2 linked regions of the Diceros bicornis minor genome follow. The protein of the gene in region 1 purifies or fractionates together with the protein of each later gene. This does not show direct contact. Links are inferred from orthologs where the notes say so. Each region holds a gene or a part of one and is shown in the gene's direction. Other genes may lie near its edges.

Region 1 (9,992 bases):
GATTCTTGCTGTTGAGTCGCACCCAGGCTCAATTTCCTTTCAAGAAAGAGAATCGAGAGGTCCTAAAAATAGAGAAGAAAAAGCAAGAATCCAATAGAAAAATAGGCAAAAGATCTGACTATTTCATAGAAAAAGAGATACAAATGGCACTTAAATAAAAGAAATGCTTAATCCTGCCCACAGTAAGAGAAATGCAAATTAAACTACCCCAAGACACCACTTTTCACCTATCAGATAGGCAAAAATACAAAAACTCGACAATATAATTTATTGACAAGGCTCTGAGGAAGAGAATACTTTTGTATGTTACCAGTGGGGATGCAAAATGTATAAATCCAATGCAGGGAAATTTGGCAGTATCTGGCAAAATTACCAGCAGTATTGACCCAGCAGTCTCTCTACCAGGAATCTAACCCAAAGATACAATGGCAGTAAAAGGATGTAAGCCCAAGGCTGTTCATTGCAGCGCTCTTCATAATGGACAAGATTGGAACAACTCAGTTGTCTGTCAGTAGGGGACTGGTTGAATAGACGATGGTTCATCTACATGATGGACAACTATGCAGATGAATGAAAAATACCAAAGCTCTCTATACACTGTTTTGGAGGGATCTCCAGGATATATTATGAAGTGAAGAAAGCAAAGTTAGAACCGTGTACATAATAAGAGAGCTACGAGGAGAGGCACAAGGGGGCTTGTCGGGTACTGGTAATGTTCTATTTGTTGACCTGGGTGGTGGTTAGGTGGATTGTTCCCTTTGTGATTAACTCATAAACCTGCACAGTTACATATATTTTTCTGTAGGTGTGTTGTACTTCCAAAAAACCGTTTAAAACAATGAATTATACTCTCTGAAGATTCTTAGCCAAAAAATGAGTGTGTGTGTGTGTGTGTCTGTGTTTGTGTGTGTGAGAGAGAGAGAGACGGAGAGAGAGACAGAGAACAATCAAATGAGGGGAACTTGTTTGGACTCTGATTTGAACAAGCAGCAATTTTTAAAAATCACATTTTTAGACCATTGAGTAAATATAAATATGGACATGTTATTAGATTATATAAAGGACTCCTTGTTAATTTTGTTAAGTGTAATAATGTAAGAAAACATCCTCTTCTCTTTTCTTGAGATACATGCTCTTCTCTTTTCTTGAGATACATACTTAAGTATATGAAAGTGAAATGGCATAATATTGAGATTTGCTTTAAAATACTCTAGCAGAAAAAAAAAAGTGGGGCCATACATAAGGCTGACAAAGTGTTGACAGTCATTGAGGCTGGGTGAGGAGTAAATGGAGTTTCTTATATTCTCTACTTTTGGATTTAAAATTTTGTTATAAATTTTTTTAAATTAATCAAGTCGTAAAGGTCTCAGTCATAACAGCCTCTGAAGAGTTCTGCATACTTGGTCCTAATCTGTTTTTTCACTGAAAGATGTTTGCAACACTAGCCCTCATGACCCCGCCGTGGCCATTCCTTCATTCATTCAACAAATGTGTTTGAGCACCTGCTGTACGTTAAATTTGAGATGTCTTGTGTTAAGCTGAAAAATGCTCCAGAAAGACCAACCACGTGATTAGAGGGTTGGAACTTTCAGCACCACCACCCCCACCTCTGGGAAGGGGAGGTAGACTGGAGATTGAGTTAATCATCAATGGTTAACCATTTAATCAATCATGCCTTTGTAATGAAAGATCCATAAAAATCCTAAGCAATTGGGTTTGGAGAGCTTCTGGGTTGGTGAACACGTTGAAGTGCTCAGAAGCTGGCACGCCCAGAGAAGGAATGGTAGCTCCGCGCTGCTTCCCCCATTCCTTGCCCTTCGCATCTCTTCCATTTGGCTGTTCCTGAGTTGTATCCTTTTTCCTGAATCTTATAAGCTGTTCCAGCAAATTGTTGAACAGAGGAAGGGGTCGTGGGCTCTCCTGATTTATAGCCAGAAGTATGGGTGGCCTGGACTTGCCATTGGTGTCTGAAGTGGGGGCAGTCTTGTGGGGCTGAGCCCTTAACCTGTGGGGTCTGCGCTAACTCCGGGTAGTGTCCAAATTGAACTAAATTGTAGGACGCCAGTTGGAGTCTGCAGAGAATTGGAGAATTGCTTGGTGTGGTAAACTCATGCATTTGGTGTCAGAAGTGAAGTGTGTAAGTACAGAAACACTTTTCTTATACAGCATATGAAGTAACAGGGACAGTTGGATGGCAGATATGGCGATGGGAGGATATTAAAGTTTTCTTGTGATTACTTCTATCTTCTCATTCAAGTGGGAAGCAAAGTCATCATCTAAGAGTAAGAAAGGAGGAGAAGGTTCTGAGGTTTAATGAGAAAGGAGAAAGTGTAAAATAATCCTTCAAGCAAGTCCAACCACTTTGGAAAATAGTGTGTCAGTTTCTTAAAAAGGTAAACATACTCTTACCATATGACTCAGCCATTTGACTCCTAGGACTCTTCTCAAGAAAAATGAAATCACATGTCCACACAAATATTAACACATGAACGTTCATGGCAGCATTATTCATAATAATCAAAAACTGGAAACAAATCAAATGCCCATCAATAGATGAATGGATAAACAAAATGTGGTGTATCCATACAATGGAATCCTCAGCAATAAAAAGGAATGAATGACTGATACATGCAACAACATGGAACATGATGCTAAGCGACAAAAGCCAGACACCAAAGACTACATATTGCATGATTCCATTTGTATGAAATGGGATAATGGAATTGTTCTGAAACTGGATCGCAGTGATGGTCGCACGACTGTATGAGTTTACTAAAATTCATTGAACTGTGCACTTAAAACAGGTGGATTTTATGGTATGTGAATTATGCCTTAACAAAGCATTTAAAAGTTAACACATGTTACCAATACTACCAATTGGGAAAAAAATAAAATGGGAGACTGAGTGGATTAGGGACATGTGATAGGATGGCTGGGCAGCACTAGGGCCCATCGGGTTTGTGGTCATGAATCCAAAGTGAGACCAGCCAGAGTGGGTGTGAGTTTTTCTCCATCCACATCCAGCTGCCAGGGTGCAGGTGCAGGGGAGGTGGACAGTGGACTCAACTGGGTGAAAAAGACAAAGTTAGAAAAGAGCACATATTGTGAAGGTGTGAGCAAGGGAGTGGTGATCATGATGGATGGGGACTCAGGCTGGGTGGTGGGAGTGGTATGGTCATGGGGAGGTGAGGGACAGGGAAAAGGCAGTCAGCTAAATGAACTGGTGGAGCTGAAGGATCATTGGAGCAATAGCTCTAGAGGGAGTGGGCTAGAGAGACAGGAGGCAATGGGCAGACAGTGAGATGCATGGATCTGAGATTCTGCAGAGTGTCAACCTAAAAGGAAAATTTGGCTGTTATTTTACCCTCAAAATGAGTTTATTCAGGAATAGCCAAAAGAATTGCAATTTGGGATGTGCACACTATGGTGAACCATAGGCAAATCCAGAAAACAAAGGAAAGAAGCTCACTTTTGTACAGAAAAAGGAGTGGGGAGGGGCTGTTCTAAAGGAAAGTCCATTGGGAGAAAGTAACAGTTCAGGGTGGCAATGGCTTCTCACTGGCGGTTCTCATTGGCTGGGCTGTTGCCGGGTGGGGAGAAAAATCTTCCTTCAGTAGTACAGTAATTGTACTTCCTGTCGGAGATGCAAGCTAAGCCATTTCCTGTTTGAAATAATTAATGATATATGCTAGGGCATGAGAGCGCCCCCTGCAGGCCTTCCAGACTCCAATTTAGTTGAGGTTTCCTTTCTTATTTTGCACAAAGGGCTGCAGTTTTGGAGTTGTCACTATCTGGGGACTGGTCTTTCTCCCTCATCGTCACCATTGTGTCCCCAGCACAAAGTCTAGGTGTGACCGTGGGAAGGAAGGGTTGGGTGGAGGACAAGATCACTAGAGGAGAGGAGATTAAGGCATAGAGAGGCCAGAACCGTCCCAGAAGCATCAACCTGAATATGGAAATCACCAAGAATTATGATCAGAGCAGCTTGAGTGGCAGTGAGCCTGGAGCCAAAATGATGAAGTGAGCTGGGAGTTGATAGAGCTAGCAGCAAGAATGAGAGCAGGTGCTATAGTATAAGGTTCAAAATTAGGGGCTTAGGGAGGAGGCAGAGAGAAAGGCAAAGAGCAAGGAGGAGAAAACAGCTCCTGCTTGGAAGGGCTGCACAGAACGGCATGTCTTCAGGGGAGAGCTAGGTTGTGGTTAGAGCAGGAAGGTAAAAGGAAGGCTCAGAGGGAGCTGAGGATATGAGAGATATAGGGAAAAGCCCTCAATGGCTCCCCCTCCCAGCCCTGACCATTCTGCCTGTACCTCCCCCATTCTGGCCCTCACCACTCTGGGTTGACACTGTCTGAGACCTGTCTGTCTCCCCCACTGGACTGGCAGTTCTAGGAGGGCAAGGCATGGGACTCTTTCAGTCACCATTGTGTCCCCAGCACAAGACCAGCTGGTGGGGCCAGCCTGGTGGCATAGTGGTTAAGTTCACACACTCTGCCCCAGCAGCCCGGGGTTTGCGGGTTCAGATCCCAGGCACAGACCTACACACTGCTCCTCAAGCCATGCTGTGGCGGCGTCCCACATACAAAATAGAGGAATACTGGCACAGATGTTAGCTCAGGGACAATCTTCCTCACACACACAGGAAAAGACCAGCCGGCACCCACTAACTACTCACTGATAGTGCCAATTTCAGGTCTGCAGAGCAAGTTGGCAGGTGAAATACCTCAGAGCCAGGAAATGGTGCCAGGATTCCAGAAAATAGGGCTGGCAACCCTAAATCTGCACTGTAGCCTGACTGTTTTTGTCCTTTAGAAAAAAAAATGTTTTAATTGGAAGGCAAACAGTAAAAGCCATAAGAAGTAGGTAACATCCTCCTGAATTGGAGCCATTTGAAGTACTATGCAGCTCCTGGATATCCAGAATAGACTCAGCAGATTTTCCATCTTAATATTTAAACAAATTTTCAGGAATGTTTCTGTACGGCTGGAACACCCTGCACAGAGAATGTAAAACAGCATGGGTTCATTCATTCATTCAACAGACATTTACTGAGCACTCACTCTGTGCCAGGCTCTGTTCTAGGTACTGAGTGATACAGCAATGAATGGAACAGACTAGTGGACTCTCCTGGAGGTTTTAAGGAATTTTTCATAGTAGCATTTGTTTTGCTTTGTGGAATGAATATAGGCATGAATGTTAATTTATAAAATTACAAATCACAAAATTCTCAATACTTATGCAGAATCTGCTCACTCCTTTACCTCCTTTTAGCTCTTTGCTCAAAAGTCACCTGATGCGTTCCTTGACCACCCTACGAGAAATGTCACTCCCTCCACACACAACACACACCAGTCCCTATCTCCCTTCCCTGCCTTCTAATAACTTGTTTGGCGTCTGTTTCTCCCATTAGAAGACGAGCTCCAGGAGGGTGGGGATTTTTATGTCTTGTTCACTGCTGTATTCCCAGCGCCTAGCATAGTGCCGGGGACATACAAGGCGCACAATAAATGCTTTTCGAGTGTATGAATGGGAGCCCAGAGTCGGTCGGTCCCTGTTCTTGGGGAGTGGAAATGGATCACAAAGGCTTTTGGGTGTAGAGGGGACCTTTGGGAGCTAACGAGGAATAGAGAAGAGGGGCCGAGGGCACGGCCCGTGCGAAGGCTGGGAGATGATCCCTCTTTACCGGGGTGCTCGAACCGGTGATGGGGAAGCGGGAAGTGTGTTTAGGGTACCGATCGCTGCACAGGTCAAAACAGCGTGGAGAGCGACGAGGCTCGGGAATCCCCGCCCACAGCACAGGCGCCGGGCTCCGGGCGGAGCTGGCCTCCGAGGGGCGGGGCTGCGTGGTTGCGTCACGCCCCGTACGTCGCCGCGCGCGTGCGCTCTTTTCCACGTGCGAAATCCCCGGGCTCGTGGAGTTCCGGACGCGGCAGGCTCGTGAGCCGGGCAACTCCGCTCTCGCCATGAGGCCAGGTGCGGCCAGGGTTGGGGTCGAGGGTCAGGGACTGGGGCCTGGCGGGAATCGGGGTCCCAGGCCGGAATCGGAGTGGGGGGTCCTTGGCCTCAGGGCAGGGGTTCTGGGCTCGGATCCGGTCTCGTGTGGGGAGGGGGAGGTCACGGTCGTGAGTCCCTGGAACTGGAGGGTCCTGAACTGGGATTCATCTCACTGAGGCCGTCGTTAGGGGTCTTGGACATTGGGCCGGGGGCGGCAGTCGGGGATACTGACCCAGAGTCTGGATCCAAGCGTTTGGGGTCTGGGATCTCTGGGCATGGGTTTGGGAACATGTCTTGGTTTGGAGGTGGCGAGTCCCTCGTGCTGGGTCTGCGAGGCCCCCGTTTGCCTCCCGTATCGCCGCCGCTCCCACCGTCCCCTTAGCCCCCAACCCAGCTTCTCAGAGAGGGCCGGAGTGGATGAGGACTCCCGCCTTATAGCGTGTGGCCCTGTCTGGCCCACGTTCCCGCTCTCGACTCTTCCGAGGAGGCGGGTCCCTGAGGATGGAGTAGAGATCCTGGGCCTAGTGATTCTCAACTCAGCGGTGAGATGAAACTTCACAAGCCCAGGATAGGATTAGCGTGGGGGAGGGGGGAGGTAGTCACAGGGCATAAGTGCTTTTATCCTTTCGATTTTCCCTGAGATTCTGATGAACCCACCCCACCTCCCTCATGGTGTAATGATGAGAGCCTTGGCTTTGACAGCTGAAGGGTCTCGGTTCAAAGTTTCAATCCTGGCTCTGCTTCTTAACCTACTGTGTGACCTTGGGCAAATGGCTTTACCTCTCAGAGCCTCAGTTTTCTCAGCAATAAAATGGCTCCCAGTTATAATTTAGTGAGATCATGTTAACAAAAAATAATACATGGTGGTAATCATTTCACAGTGTAGAAGTGTATCAAATCAACAGGTTGTACATCTTAAACTTAGACAATGTTGTATGTCAATTATGTCTCAATAAAGCTGGGGAAAAAATAGCACAGGGCTTGCCATATAATAGTATTGGCTCTAATTGTTATCTTTATCTTCTCAAGGGGAACAAAATTAGGGTCTTTCTCCCTGGTGTCTCAGCTCTTCCTAAGTCAGGCCATACCCCTCCCCACAACTTTCTCCACTGGAGCTGAGGAAATCTTCCACTGTGATCAAACGGGTCTATTTTCCTAGTACAGGTTTTCTTTTTTCTTTTTTTTTTGTTCTGGTGTGCGGAGAGATGGGGTCATTGCGGGGGTGGGGTTTGTGAATCCATGCCCCCTCCCAGGCTCTCTTTCTCTTCAATGTTCAGGGAGCTACTGATGAAGTGGGGTGGGAGGTGCCAGGCTCTGTATGTCCTGAGACCCTGGTATCCCTGCAGGCACCCTGTGGTCTGATTCCCCCCAGGAATGGAGGATACACCTTCCTCCCAACCCTTCCTCCGTTGCGTTAGGATATGAAGTGGTAAAAGTAAATCTACCAGGTTTCAGGAATCGGCTCTGCGGGAATGATTTTAGTCTGAATGAGAGGAAGCCTTTGGGAGATGTTGAGCAGGGATGCTGTCAGTTAGACTTGATTGACACTTTTAAAAGGATCCCTCTTGCTTCTGTGTGTATAAGACTTTTGGGGAGCAAGAGTGGACATGGGCACATGGGTGGAAGTTTGGTGCTGTAGTCTACTAGGAGATGATGTGGCCTGGACCAGGGTGAGAGCAGTGGACCTGATTGACAAATCGTCATGATTTGGGAATATATTTTGAAGACAGAGCCAACAGCTTGTATGTGGGTGTGAGCTAGAGGAATTAAGGATAACTAAGGGCTTTTGCGTGTGTAGCTGGAAGGATGGAGTTGCCGTTTTTGAGATGGGCACAGCTGTGGGAGGAGAGCAGCTTTAAACCAGGGGGTCTGTGGACCCTCCACCAAAAACTTCTAGAAAAATGTGTGTGAATATGTGTTTTTCTGAGCAATGGGTACTTTGAGTACCTTTTTCTAAGAGCCCCAGGACCTGAAATGGATTAAGCTATGCTTTGAGTATCTGGGACTGCAAATTTACCTTCGTGCCCATTGTCCCCCATGCCGTGCCCACACTTCCCAGGTCTCTGTTCCTCGGGCCTGGGTTGAGAACCTCTTAGGCCTAGTGGTTTCTTCCTAAGTAGGAGGGAGGGGGGACTCATTCCCCCGAGTTTGAATAATTCAAACTGTGTGCCAGGCAAACTGTGTGCCAGGCAGTGTATTAGGTGAAGTGCTTTGTGTGTATTAAGTCATTTACTCTTGACAACTCCCTGAGGTGAGCACTGTGTTATCTCCATATCTCCGTCTTATAGGTGAAGTTTTCAAGACTCCCACAAACCTTCCCTGCTCTCTAGGGTCGTGAATTGCGTGGCCATCTCGCTGGATGGACTACATGAGCTGCTTGAGGGGAGGGGCCAGGGCTCTGGTCACCATCTGATCACCTGCTTTCTGAATGAACAGAGAGGGTGCTCTCTGCAGGAGCAGAGCCCAGGGATCTAAGGGTTATCACAGACAGCTCATTGAATGTTTACCAAGCCCCTGCTTGGTGTCAGGTGTTGCGCACGGTGCTGGGGATGCTGCGCTGACCAAAACAATTAAACATGCCTGTCTCTTTGGAGCTTGATTCTGGTGGAGGAGGCAGGCGGTGATAATATTAAAAACGCCGTGTGTGGTCATCGATAGGAAGAACGAGCAAGCACGGGAAAGGTGGGGTAGCAGAGAAGGCCTGTCTGAGGAAGGAACATTTAATCAGAGACCTGAGTGCAGGGAAGGAGGTGGGCCTAGCACGTGTCCACAGGAGCCAGGCAGGGGGACAGCAGATGTTAAAGCTTTAGATGCCGGAGAGCGAGTTTGTTCTTGGAGAGGAAGAGCGTGGGGCCCAGGATAGAGAGAGCGCAGTCAGAAGTCAGCAGAAGCCAGGGCCTTGTGATGGAGTTCACAGTTTGGGCCACACATTAGAATCCCCGGGGGAACTTTAAGAAGCCCAGGCCCCGGCCCCTAGCCCAGACAGTTCAATCAGAATCTCTAGGTTCCAGGGATTAGCCAAAGGGGAGACCCACTGATATAGGGTTTTGGAAGCCAGGGAAAGGAATTTTGATTTCATTTTGAATGTGATGGAAAACCATGGAAGGGATTCGGACAGGGGATGCTGAGATCTGATTTGCTGTTTGCTGTTTTAAACAACTCCGTCACTAGCTGCTCCGTGGACAGTAGGCTGTAGAGGGGGAGACGATAAAGGCAGACAGCTCTTGGTTACGTGAGGAGTTTGAAACTGTTCATTTTTAACAATCAAATTAGGAATAGCGATTAGAAATTCCACCTTTTCATCTTTAACGCCATTCAGATGCATGAAGCTTTCAGAGTGTGAATACAATGCACCTTTACAAAAACTTGAGCAAGTGTACTAGTGACTAGTTTACATCAGGTGAGATCATTTTAAACCATCACTCATTTTCACGCTATTGTCTTATAACTCGTAGTTTTTCTGAATGGTACTGCAGAGCTTTTGAAACCCACACAGAAAAGTCACATATTCAATCTGTTAGCACCAGAATTCTGTCTGCTCCCAACATTGTTTTGTGCTCCGTGAAGTGAACAATGTTTGCTTTCTCCTGAAGTGATGAAAATAAAGTCTCTCCAAATCTTTTTCTTTTTCTTAAACTTTACATCTTGTTGACAAGCCCTAAACTGCTTAAGAACTGTTGCCCATCCATGAAAGACAATTCAGGTTTTTTTCTTCTTTTTCCCTGAGCTGTGAGAGACTTCTGCAGCCTTGGAAGCCGAGAGATCAGTTAGAAGGAAAGACATCATTCCAAGCTCCTCCCCCCTGTTTGGGAGTGGGCGCTTTTCTTCCAGGCATGAGGTCAGGAGTGGGAGGGCACGAAGATGTTTCCAGAGTCTGGAGGACCCTTCTGCCACGGTGCATGCACACATGCAGTGTTCGCTCTTTTTCAGACTAATTAATATGGAAAATAGAATGACTTCTGCGACTCTGCTATCCAACCAAAGAAAGCAGGATATTGACA
Region 2 (10,706 bases), on another chromosome or scaffold:
TCAACAATCCAAATAGGCTTATGCACCCCTATGTTCATTGCAGCATTATTCACAATAGCCAAGGGCAAGCAACCCAAGTGTCCCTTGACTGATAATTGGATAAAGAAGATGTGATATATATATACAATGGAATACTACTCAGCCATAAGAAAGACAAAATTGTCCCATTTGCAACAACATGGATGGACCTGGAGGGTATTACGTTAAGTGAAATAAGCCAGAGAGAGAAAGACAAACACCACATGATTTCACTCATATGTGGAAGATAAACTAACACACGGACAGAGAGAACTGTTTGGCGGTTACCAGGGTTAAGGGAGTTGGGGGGTGGGCATAAGGGGGGAAGGGATGCATGTATAGGGTGACTGACAAACAATAATGTACAACTAAAATTTCACAATGTTATAAACTATTAAGACATCAATAAAAAAAAGAATAGCTGCAGCTCTGCATGCAGATGAACAGGGATTGAAACAATTATGCAAAAAGGAAAAGTACTAGGAAAAGCAGTAGAATCTGAGCTAACTCATTTTTTTTTGAACCAAGAGCATTAACATGCATTTGTTAAAAAAAAATGTTCCAGAATTAGATAGCAGTGATGGTTGTACAACTTTGTGACTACACTAAAAACCACTGAGTTATACATTTTAAAATGGTGAATGTTATGGTGAATTACACCTCAATAGAAAAAGTTTTTAAATATTGTTAATAAATCAAAATTTATGACAGCCTCTCAAATATGTTAAAAGGAGCTTTTCAAAGGCCTAAAAACCAATTATTTTAATATCCGACTCTTAATGCTTAATACAATTGCCCCCAACGAGCTAGTCTCATTTCCGATTTTTAATAAGATTGTAAAATCTTGTGGTTTTAAAACCTTCTTTAGTACCTCCCCCCACCCAAATTGGTAATAGAACTACCCTTTCTCACCTCACTCACATTCTGATTTAATATATACACTTAAGAAACACAGTAAAGGGAAGGGAGACAGTGCAGAGGCAGAGTTCCAGTGAGAGAGGTTACACGGAAACCTTCACGAGATCTAGCAGTCCCTCAACAGGCCGCAGTGTGCTGCGTGCAAGAACCTTCTCCACAAATGGTCATCCCCGATTTTGATTTAAACCCTTCCAGAACAGAAAACTCAAAAGGTGTCCCATTCCATCTTCAGAACTATCCATTGAACTGCTAAAAATATCTTCCCTATACTTACCTCACTGTACTCTTCCCTACTGGGGAAGAGTTCTGCACCGTAGAAACTCTTCCATTAGACCATCTCTTAAGTTTCAGCACAGCTATCATGAGCTGCAAAATCCCCTTTTCTAGTCAAAATCCTTAGTTCTTTCAACCACTCCTCAGACCTTGGTTTCATAATTTGTCACCACTCAGGTCACTCCCTGTGATTGACTCTAGTTATGATATTGAGAGAAACTTGTACATTAACCCATCTGTGCCTCAGTTTGCTGAGATCTGTAAAACTGGGATAATAACAGGATAATCTGTAAAATTGGGATAATAACAGTACATATAAAACTGGGATAATAACAGTATATAACAGATCTGTAAAAGTGGGATAATAATAATCAAAGGATAATAGGTGTTATGGAGAAAAATATACAGCAGGGAAAGAGGAATATGGAGTTCTATAAAAGGCAATAGGGTAGGAGTGGGGAGGGGGTCGGTATGTCACATAGGGTAGTCTGGGGAGGCCTCTAAAACACCCATTTGAACAGGGACCTGAAGAAGTGAGAAAGTAAACCATGTGGGCATTTGGAAGAGAATCCCTGGCTAAAAGAACAGTAAGTACAAAGGATGTGCGCTTGGTGTGGTCTGAGGAGCAGCAAGGTCGGCAGGCTGAGGAAGAGAGATAGGGAGAGCAGTCAAAAATGGACAGAGAGAGGTAGCACTGTAAAACTTTGCAGGCCAGCTTTTATAGAAGTGGGATGGACATGGCATCAGAAGGGTGAGATTGCCTGACCTGGGTTTTAAATGACTGCTGGGTTGAGAATACCCTGTCCAGGGAGCAAAAAGGAAGTCACTGCAATCACCGAGGTGACTGATGAAAGCGCCTTAGACAAGTGTGCAGACTGAAGGTGCTAAGAGAGGGTCCGTTTCTGGCTATGTTTTGAAGATAAAGCCAAGAGGATTTGCTGGTGAATGAATGTAGAACGTGAGTGAGAAAGAGGTCTGGGACGACCCCCTGGTTTTTTGGCAACATGGGTTTGTATTCTGGGAGGCTCTGCCACTTACTGTGTGACCTTGGCAAGTTACTTAACATTTCTCTGCCTCAGTTTCCCCCTCTGTAAATGGGGATAATAACAGTACTTACCTAATAAGACTGTTGTGAAGATTATATGTAAAAAAAGCTTAGAAGAGTGCCTTCCACTCTACAAGTGCTAAATAAGTATTGCTATTATTATCATCATCGTCACCATCATTATTATTATTAGCTTGCTTGTGGAAAGATGGAGGTGCAGGAAGAACAGGTGTGGGGGAGGATAGAGATCAGGAAGTCAGTTTTGAACGTGTTAAGATTCTACTGGACATCAAGTGAAGATGTTAAAGAGACAGCTGGACATAAGTAGAGTTTAGTAGGAAGGTCAGGGCTAGAGAAGTTTATCTGGGAATTGGAGACATATAGACAGTACTGAAAACCATGAAACTAAAGAAGATCCCTCTAGGGAATGAATATAGAATAAAAAAGAATTTCCAGAATAAATATAGAATAAAAAAGAGCCTTGGGACACTCAACATTTTACATGTTGGGAAGACAATGAGGAACCAGCATCCTCCTTCCAGGAGTGGCATCCTGGACGTCAAAGTAAGAAAGTGTTTCAAGAAGGAAGGAGTATCCAGCTGTTTTGAAAGTTGCTGAGGTCCAGTAAGATAAGGAATGATAACTGATCACTGGATTTTACAACACAGAGGCACTGGCAAGCCCTGATAAGAACTGTTTTGATACAGTGGGGATGATAGTCAGGTGGAGTAAGTTCAAGAACGAATGGGAGGAAATGAATTGGAAACAGCAGATATGGAAAACTCTTAGAGGAATACTGCTACAAAAAGGAACAGAGAAACAGGCATCTAGAGGGGAACGTGGGTCAAGTCTGTTGTTGTTTTAAGATGAGAGAAAATGCAGCAGTTTTTAATACCAGTAATAACGTGTCAATGGGAGCCTGAGAAAAGGGTGATGCAGGAGAGGAGATAACTGTTGAGGCCTGTCCTTGACTAGGCCCGAGGGCACAAAACACAGTGTACAAGAGAGGGGATAGCCCAAGAAGACTTACGTCACTGCGTCATTCATTTATTTACTCAACAAATATTTATGACTAAGTAGTCTGTGCTCGAACTACTCTAAACACCAGGGATACATCCGTAAGCAAAATCAATAGTTACATGAGAGAATCTACATAAAGCACTTAGAATAATATGTGCTTTTGGCACCTGACAAATGCCAACTAAATACAGACAGATCTGAACTATGTTCATCCAAATCTTTTATAAAAATATGGACAAAGACAGTGTCCTAAAACTTGCCCCTAGAGAACTATCAGTGGAGTTTGAATAACATGCTTTGAGTTGATAAAATTTAACTTACTTTTGATAATATGAGAAAATGGCTTTAGAACTCATTGAATGCAACCTCTTAATTTTGAAGAAAAAAGTTAAAAACAGAAAGCCAAGTTGACTTGCCCAAAGTTACTAAATTAATTCAGTGAAGAATCAAGAGCCAAAATTAAAACCCAGTTCTCCTACTTCCTACTCAGGTTTTCATTACGCTTTCTTTGATCTCTCTCTCGCTCTCTGACAGAAAGGCTGAAAATATTATGACTGCAATTTCTGTCTTCCCTCTACTTCTGCCTGGCCCTTCTTCCCCTCCGATTTACCAGAGGCTGTACTTGACTCCTTACCACTTTATTTTAATCCAATAAAAATTCTAATTGTTAAAAGATTTTTCAGGGAGATATAATATTTTAGTTACCAAAATTCCAGGTTATTTCCTATTTAAAAAAATCTATGATAAAACACAGTCCTATGCATCACATTTAAAGTATCTTAATTTTCTCATCTGGAATTCATGTAACTTGTAAGAAAGAGTTGACAGGCTGAAATATTACCATGTTGATACTGATAGTGAGGAATATTTCCTATTATTGACTTTACAGATGTTTAAAATCAGAATATTTCAAAAATGGATAAATCAGAACAGAGGATTTTTTGGTTTGTTTTCTACAAAACCTTAAAGAAATAAATCTGTTTTTAAACACCCATTACCAGTACTTTTTGCCAGTCCTGGTGGTCTAGTGGTTAAGATTCACCCCCTCGGCCCAGGTTCATGTCCCAGTTAGGGAACCACACCACCCATCTGGTGGTTGTCATACTGCGGCAGCTGCGTGTTGCTGTGTGCTGGAAGCTGTGCCACGGGTATGTTAAACACCAGCAGGGTCACCCATGGCGGACAGGTTTCAGCGGAGCTTCTAGACTAAGACAGGCTAGGAAGCAAGACCTGGCCACCCACTTTCAAAAAAATTGGCCATGAAAACCCTATGAATAGCAGCAGAGCATCATCTGATACAGTGCTGGAAGGACGAGAGGATGGCGCAAAAGACCAGGCAGGGTTCTACTCTGCTGTCCACAGGGGCGCTAGGAGTCAGCATCCACTGGACAGCCTAACAACAAACCAGTTCTACCACCATGAATGGTAGCAGATGCATTTCTTACTTTCAGTATATGAGCCACATTGAGGATATGCTGAAAATGCCAATTAAAAGAAATACTCACTGAAACACAAATTAACTTTCCCTTTTTCTTTTTGCATTTTTAATAGTGGTTTAACAGGAGTTTAGTACTCAGTTTTAGCGACTAAGCATTCTATTTCAAACAGTCAATAAAGCTGAAGTTTATCTAATATTTCAGCTAAGGTATCCGCCAAACTCAACCTTTTTATCTTTAAAACAATACCTTTTAGATTTCAAGCTTCAAACTCTACGTTCTGATATGAATTACCTTTCAAGGATTCTTTTTTTTTAATCCTAGGATGTCCTTCAATTTCTAGCTAAAATCTTCCAGTGCTTGATAATTACTGCTCTACCCTTATTTTCTTAACCCAGCCTCATCCGTAAAATGTTGCTCATCAGCACTCCTACCTTCTTGAGTCACTAAAAGGAGCATCTCTCTGACATCAAAGGCAGCAGTAAGGATGTGGGAATAAACATTTCATATGAAAATTAATCTTCTATTTCCACCCACCAATAAATGTGGCCAAAATATTAGTGACTGTCCTAAATGTCTGGATTTTTACCTCAGTTTTTATATACTCTAAAGAAAGAGCAAACCAATTTCAGCATCAAATGGAAAACCCAGCCCTAACCGCTCCAACAACCGTCAAGTCTGAACGTGCTTCTTTGAGGAGGCTGCCTGGGCAGTCTCGACGAACACCGCGCACCCAAGACCGCCGGCTTTTTTCAAATGTAGAGTGCTGCTCCAGTTTTGACATCCTGATTACGTGCACATGTAACTTTTTTATCAACCAGCAGCTTGAGGGCAGAGACCTGTATCACAAGCTGCAAACCGCAGGGACCCAGACAGTGCCTGGCGCCTAAAAAGTATTGGGCACCCACACTACCCACAGCACAGAGAAGAGGTGTGATATGCACGGTTCCCTCAGTGCCTTCCGCAGCCCTGGGAAGCAGGCACTACTGATCGCCCCACTTTACAGACAATCACGACGAGGCTCAGACAGGCTAAGCCGCCTGCGCGGGTCACACAGGTAGCACAAGGGGCACAGACCAGGATTCGAAGCCTGACCATCTGCAGGCGCACGCTCACCCTCCACCCCGGCGGCGGCTCGGCTGCGCTCCCGGCATCTCCACAGCCTCCCCGAGCTTCCACACCAGCAGGCTCGGCTGCGCTCCCGGCATCGGGAGGTCACCGGGCCAGCCCCCGGCCTCGCGTGCGGCGAGCTGAGACCACACGCAGGTTTCCGGGCGCGAGGGGAGATGCGGGGCGAGGAGAACCGGCTCGCGGGGCCCCCCCCGGTGCCTGAGCCCAACACCGAGCCCGGCGGGGAGCGAGCCGCCCGCCCCGGGAGACTGCACGCGCGGCCCGGGCCGCTCCCAGCCCCGCGCGTCTGACGCGCCGTCGGGCGCCGGGCGGGGAGGAGCGCGGGGAGACCACGGCGGGCGCCCACGCACCTCGGGCGGGAGGGAGCAGAGGCGGCTCGCCCTCACCCTCGAGCAGCGGCGGGGGCTCTCCGGTGGCTCAGCGGCCGCGGGAAGCGGAGAAACTGGAGCGGTTGGCTCAACCTGTGAGGAAAAAGTCGAACGGCGCTGCGGCTGCAGCCCGGGCGGGGTTGAGTGTGACACCGCCCGTCGCCCCGCCCCTTCCCGTGGCCTCCGGGAGCCACTTCCGGTGGCGGCTCCGCAGCCTCCTCCCGCCTGGAGCGGCCCCGGGCTGGTTCCTGACTCGCCCCAAGACGGGCCGGCGAGGCCTCCTCCGGTCTCCAGGAACCGAGCAGAGGCCGGGCGGCCGGTCCCGCGCCGTTTACCGCAGGGCTGCCTCCACCGAGGTGGAGGATGTGCTGCGAGAAGTGGAGCCGCGTGGCCGAGATGTTTCTCTTCATCGAGGACCTGGAGGAGGACTATAAAATCCTTTGCCTCTGCTCCAGGGCGTTCGTGGAGTAAGTAAAAACGTGTTCCTCGTCGTTTCTGGCACCGTGGTTGCCCAGGAATGGACGTGTTGAGCACTAGTTGTAAGTGATCCCGGAAACCACGACCAGAGGCCTTGGCCCTTGGGCATGGTGATGTTTAAGCAGCGGCAGCACAAGTCCTCACACTGCGGAGTGGCGGCCTGCTGCCCTGAAGTGAGGGAGTGGGTCTCCTCTGTAGGCTGTTAGGGGAAGTGCGGGAGCTCGTAGATGCCATTTTGTATTTATAAATTGAGGGGGCATTTCAAAATTGGGGGAAAGTGATATGTAAAATGCAGTCTCTTTCATGGACGTGACGTCGCAAGGTGAAGGTTTGAAAATGGGTAACTTGTTTTGGTTAATATCTTTTTTAAAACCTTAAGATTTGCTAAAGCGCAAACGCACATAAGTAGGACTTCTGATTACCTGAGATACAAGATTTAGCTACATTTACATCAGTTTTTGAGCTGTCTTTATTTTTGGGAAATATTTGTTTCGGGTAAAAATTGCCCTGCATGGAAGATAGCTAGCGGGCAGGAAAAAAAATGACTAAAGAATTGGATTCTAGGGGTAGTTTTCTTTATATTAGATGTGTACATTTAGCCACTTAAATCTTTTCTTTTAATCTCTAAAACAAGTATATTTATCCTAATCATTTTAATTGTTAGATAGAACTTGCAGAAGTGAATTTTATGTGACAGACTTTTAATATAGTTTAATGTAGTAGAATTTAAGTTTGAAGAAATTCTTACTATTCATCATGTGTTTTTGTGGAGTAATCAGAAAATTAATGCAAAAAGAAATTAAACACTGTGCTAAATTTAATGTAGAAAGTATTATCTTTTCATTCGTGTATGCATGTATTCATTCGATGAATGCTTTTTGTGCTTCTTTGTATTAAGTCCTGGTGGGCTCTGGGGAACAAGACACAGCCCATCCCTATGTCCTTTGAGTTTACTTTCTAGCAAGGGTGATGAATAGTAAGACAACTGTTACATAAGCAGTTGGTTAATTATAGTTGTAAGTGCTGTGGGAGAGAAGTACAGGATGCTATGGCAGCAGAAACCTAACCTTTGCCCACAGATCACAGAGATTTAATTTCGAGAAAGTAGTGTTTGAAAAGAGGTGTGAAGAGTGTGTGGAGATAAACTGGGATGTGTTTGAGTGGGAGGAAGCATTCCCAGAAGCAAAACTCTGTAAAAGTCTTGAGGGAGCAAAAGAAGCCTGTGTAACTGAAACAGAACGGCTGGGAGGGGAAGATAGAAGACAGGGTTGATGAGGGAGGCAGGGTCAAATATGCAGGACTTTGTAGAAGACAGGTTACTCCGGCAGCAGCGTGGGGGGTGGTTCCGAGGAGGAGAACCACTTAAAATCATTTTCCAGGCTACAGATGATGGTGGCTTGGATTAGGATTGGTGGCAGTGGAAATGGAGAAAGAAGGAATTATAGCAGAAAAATTGTTGAGTTGAGGGGATTGGATTCAATGTAGGGGAATAAACGAAAGATAAAGGATGGGAAGGAGGAAACTAGGTCAAGGGTAACACCTTGGTTTCTGGTTTGAATTGATGCCTTTCTCTGAGATAAAGATCACGGGAGAGTGATAGGTTTTTATTTTGGGACAGTAGTGAGAAGACAGTCAATTTTGTATGTTTTAATTTTGGAGTACTATGAGATATCCAAGGGTGGATGTTATAGATGGTTGGATATATTGGTTTGGAGCTCTGGCGAAGTCTGGGCTGGTCTTAAAAACTTGAGCCATTCTAGTGCAGATAGTAATTGAAGCCATTAATTTATCACTTAAGGGTGGGGGGGTGTGGGATCCATCCTTGAAGAATTCCAACGTTTTTTAAAGATTAAACGAGAAGAGATGGATTAACTGAGAAAGAGGTAGAATGCAAGTATACTGTCACCAAACATTTGAGGGAAGGAGTACATTGGAAAGCTGGTACTGTAACAAGCTATATGAGAACTAAAAAATATCCACTTGAATTGGTAAAAAATTTTTTAAAAATCTGCTAGATTAGGGCCGGCCCCGTGGTGTAGTGGTTAAGTTCGTGCGCTCTGCTTTGGCAGCCCAGGGTTCACGGGTTCGGATCCTGGGTGTGGACCTATGCACCACTCATCAGGCCATGCTATGGCAACGTCCCACATACAGAATAGAGGAAGATGGGCACAAATGTTAGCTCAGGGCCAATCTTCCTCAGCAAAAAGAAAATCTACTAGATTGTTGACTTGCTCAGTGCCGGGCAGTAATTGCTTTACATTTCATACTTTTTTTTTTTTTTCCGTTTAAGCGTTCCAGCAGTCCCCTGAGCTGGGATGTTTTCTTCCTATCCTTACTTTATTCAAGTAGAAAACTGAGTTTCAGTAATGGCCTAAAAAAAAATCAGACAGCCGGGTAAGTGGCAGCCCTGCTTTCTACCCCAGGTCTGTGTTGACTCCATAGCCTTTCCACTATCCCACTAATTAGTCTAGAACATATGATTTTATTGAATCTTCCCAATTGAGTATTTAAGTGGTCTAAAGTCACTAGGACAACTGGAGCCTTATTAAAATATTTTAATGTATTTTATTTGAGATAGAGAACTATTCTGGAAATTGAAGAACCTGTGTTTACATCTCATCATGCCCATGTGACTGGTGGTGAGCACAACAAAATCATTTGAATGTGTTTTTTCCCACAAAATTTCTCATTTATTCACCATGTATATCAGCCACCCATGTGTCAGGCACTGTAATAAAAAGATGACTTAGGCACGGTAGTGATGATTGTTGTATTCAGAGGTGTGATGATGAGCTGCTTAGGGCTCTTAGGGGAGCAGTATCTTAGTGGGGTCACTACAGTGCAGGTCTGGTCTCCAGCTTTACGATTCAGTTCAGCAGTTAAAGTTTATTTAGTCCTTACGATGTGCCAGGTCCAGATACTCATCCAGAATCATTATGCTCTTTGGCTTGAGTTACACTGACCAAATTCAAAGATTGCTTTATAGAGAACACTTAGCAAGTATAACAGAAAATTCTTTGAATATCAGGCATCAGAAATACATCTTTCTCAGTGATGAATGTTCTTGGAGATTCTTGAAAGTTGCCCTAAGTAAGAAACAGTTGTCATAAAAATTTAAAAGCTAGCATTCTCTCTCTTACTGCTAATCTTTCGGCCTCAGATTATCTGTAGCCTTGTGATGTACGAGTAATAACCTTGGATACCTGTTTCACCTCTCACCCATGAAGAAGTGTCTTTCTGCTCCTACCTCTGGACCTGGGCTGACTTATTGGGCTGGCCCATTCCCCAAAAGGGGTGCAGGCTAGCACTGTGGGCGGGGCCAAGGCGCTCACCACAGGAGAGTACCTGGCTGTATTGTTGGGTGTGCAGGCCAAGAAAGAAGAGTCAGCTTGCATAGGGCACCAGCCCAGGTTACATAGTTAGTTCTTAGCCTGCAGCCCACTTGAGTCTTGATGCTGTCTTCATGAAGCCTCCTTTCCAAAAAAAGAAAAGGAAGGGAGAGAACATAAGTTACAAAATATAAAAAGTTGAGAAAAATTCTCATACCATACCTCTAGAAAACAATATGTAACTGGATTTCAATTAAAGTGACTTTATTTAAAACAATTTTAATTGCTATATAAATCACCAATTATATTGAATTTAGTCTTTTTGAATTAAAACGTGCACTCTTTTCATTACAGATAATTTCGTACATATTCTTAAAACTTACAAGCTCTACTTCACTTTTAGAAACTACATTCCAACTTCAAAATAAGTAAAGAGAAAAGAATGACTTTTTCCTTTAGCTAAATTAATGCTCAGACAAATTATAACCCTTTAGAACAAAAAGAACTTGGAGATATGATCTTGGAATTGTTGCCAGTAGGAATTGTTGAGAAGTCCTCAGGAGTGGGAGACAGGCTGAAAGTTCAGAGGCTTGTAAGTGTAACCCTGATTTTCCAGGTAGGGAAAAGGTCTGTTTCAGAATCTAAAAACAACAGATTTGATTGTTGGCAAAATTCTAAAATAGATTATTAA

What was found.
Region 2: the proteins of FBL (region 1) and TGS1 purify together in Homo sapiens (affinity purification with mass spectrometry; 3 studies listed by BioGRID and IntAct, counting the BioPlex papers as one, with this or other methods). This does not show direct contact. The link is inferred for Diceros bicornis minor from reciprocal best matches to the Homo sapiens genes FBL and TGS1.

What each region holds. Positions count from the first base shown.
Region 1 is NC_080773.1:13,613,088-13,623,079, reverse strand, and holds the start of FBL (rRNA 2'-O-methyltransferase fibrillarin), read left to right. Parts: upstream 1-5,861; 5' UTR 5,862-5,960; coding exon 5,961-5,970; intron 5,971-9,992.
Region 2 is NC_080772.1:9,611,442-9,622,147, forward strand, and holds the start of TGS1 (trimethylguanosine synthase), read left to right. Parts: upstream 1-6,419; 5' UTR 6,420-6,572; coding exon 6,573-6,676; intron 6,677-10,706. UniProt on the Homo sapiens protein: Catalyzes the 2 serial methylation steps for the conversion of the 7-monomethylguanosine (m(7)G) caps of snRNAs and snoRNAs to a 2,2,7-trimethylguanosine (m(2,2,7)G) cap structure.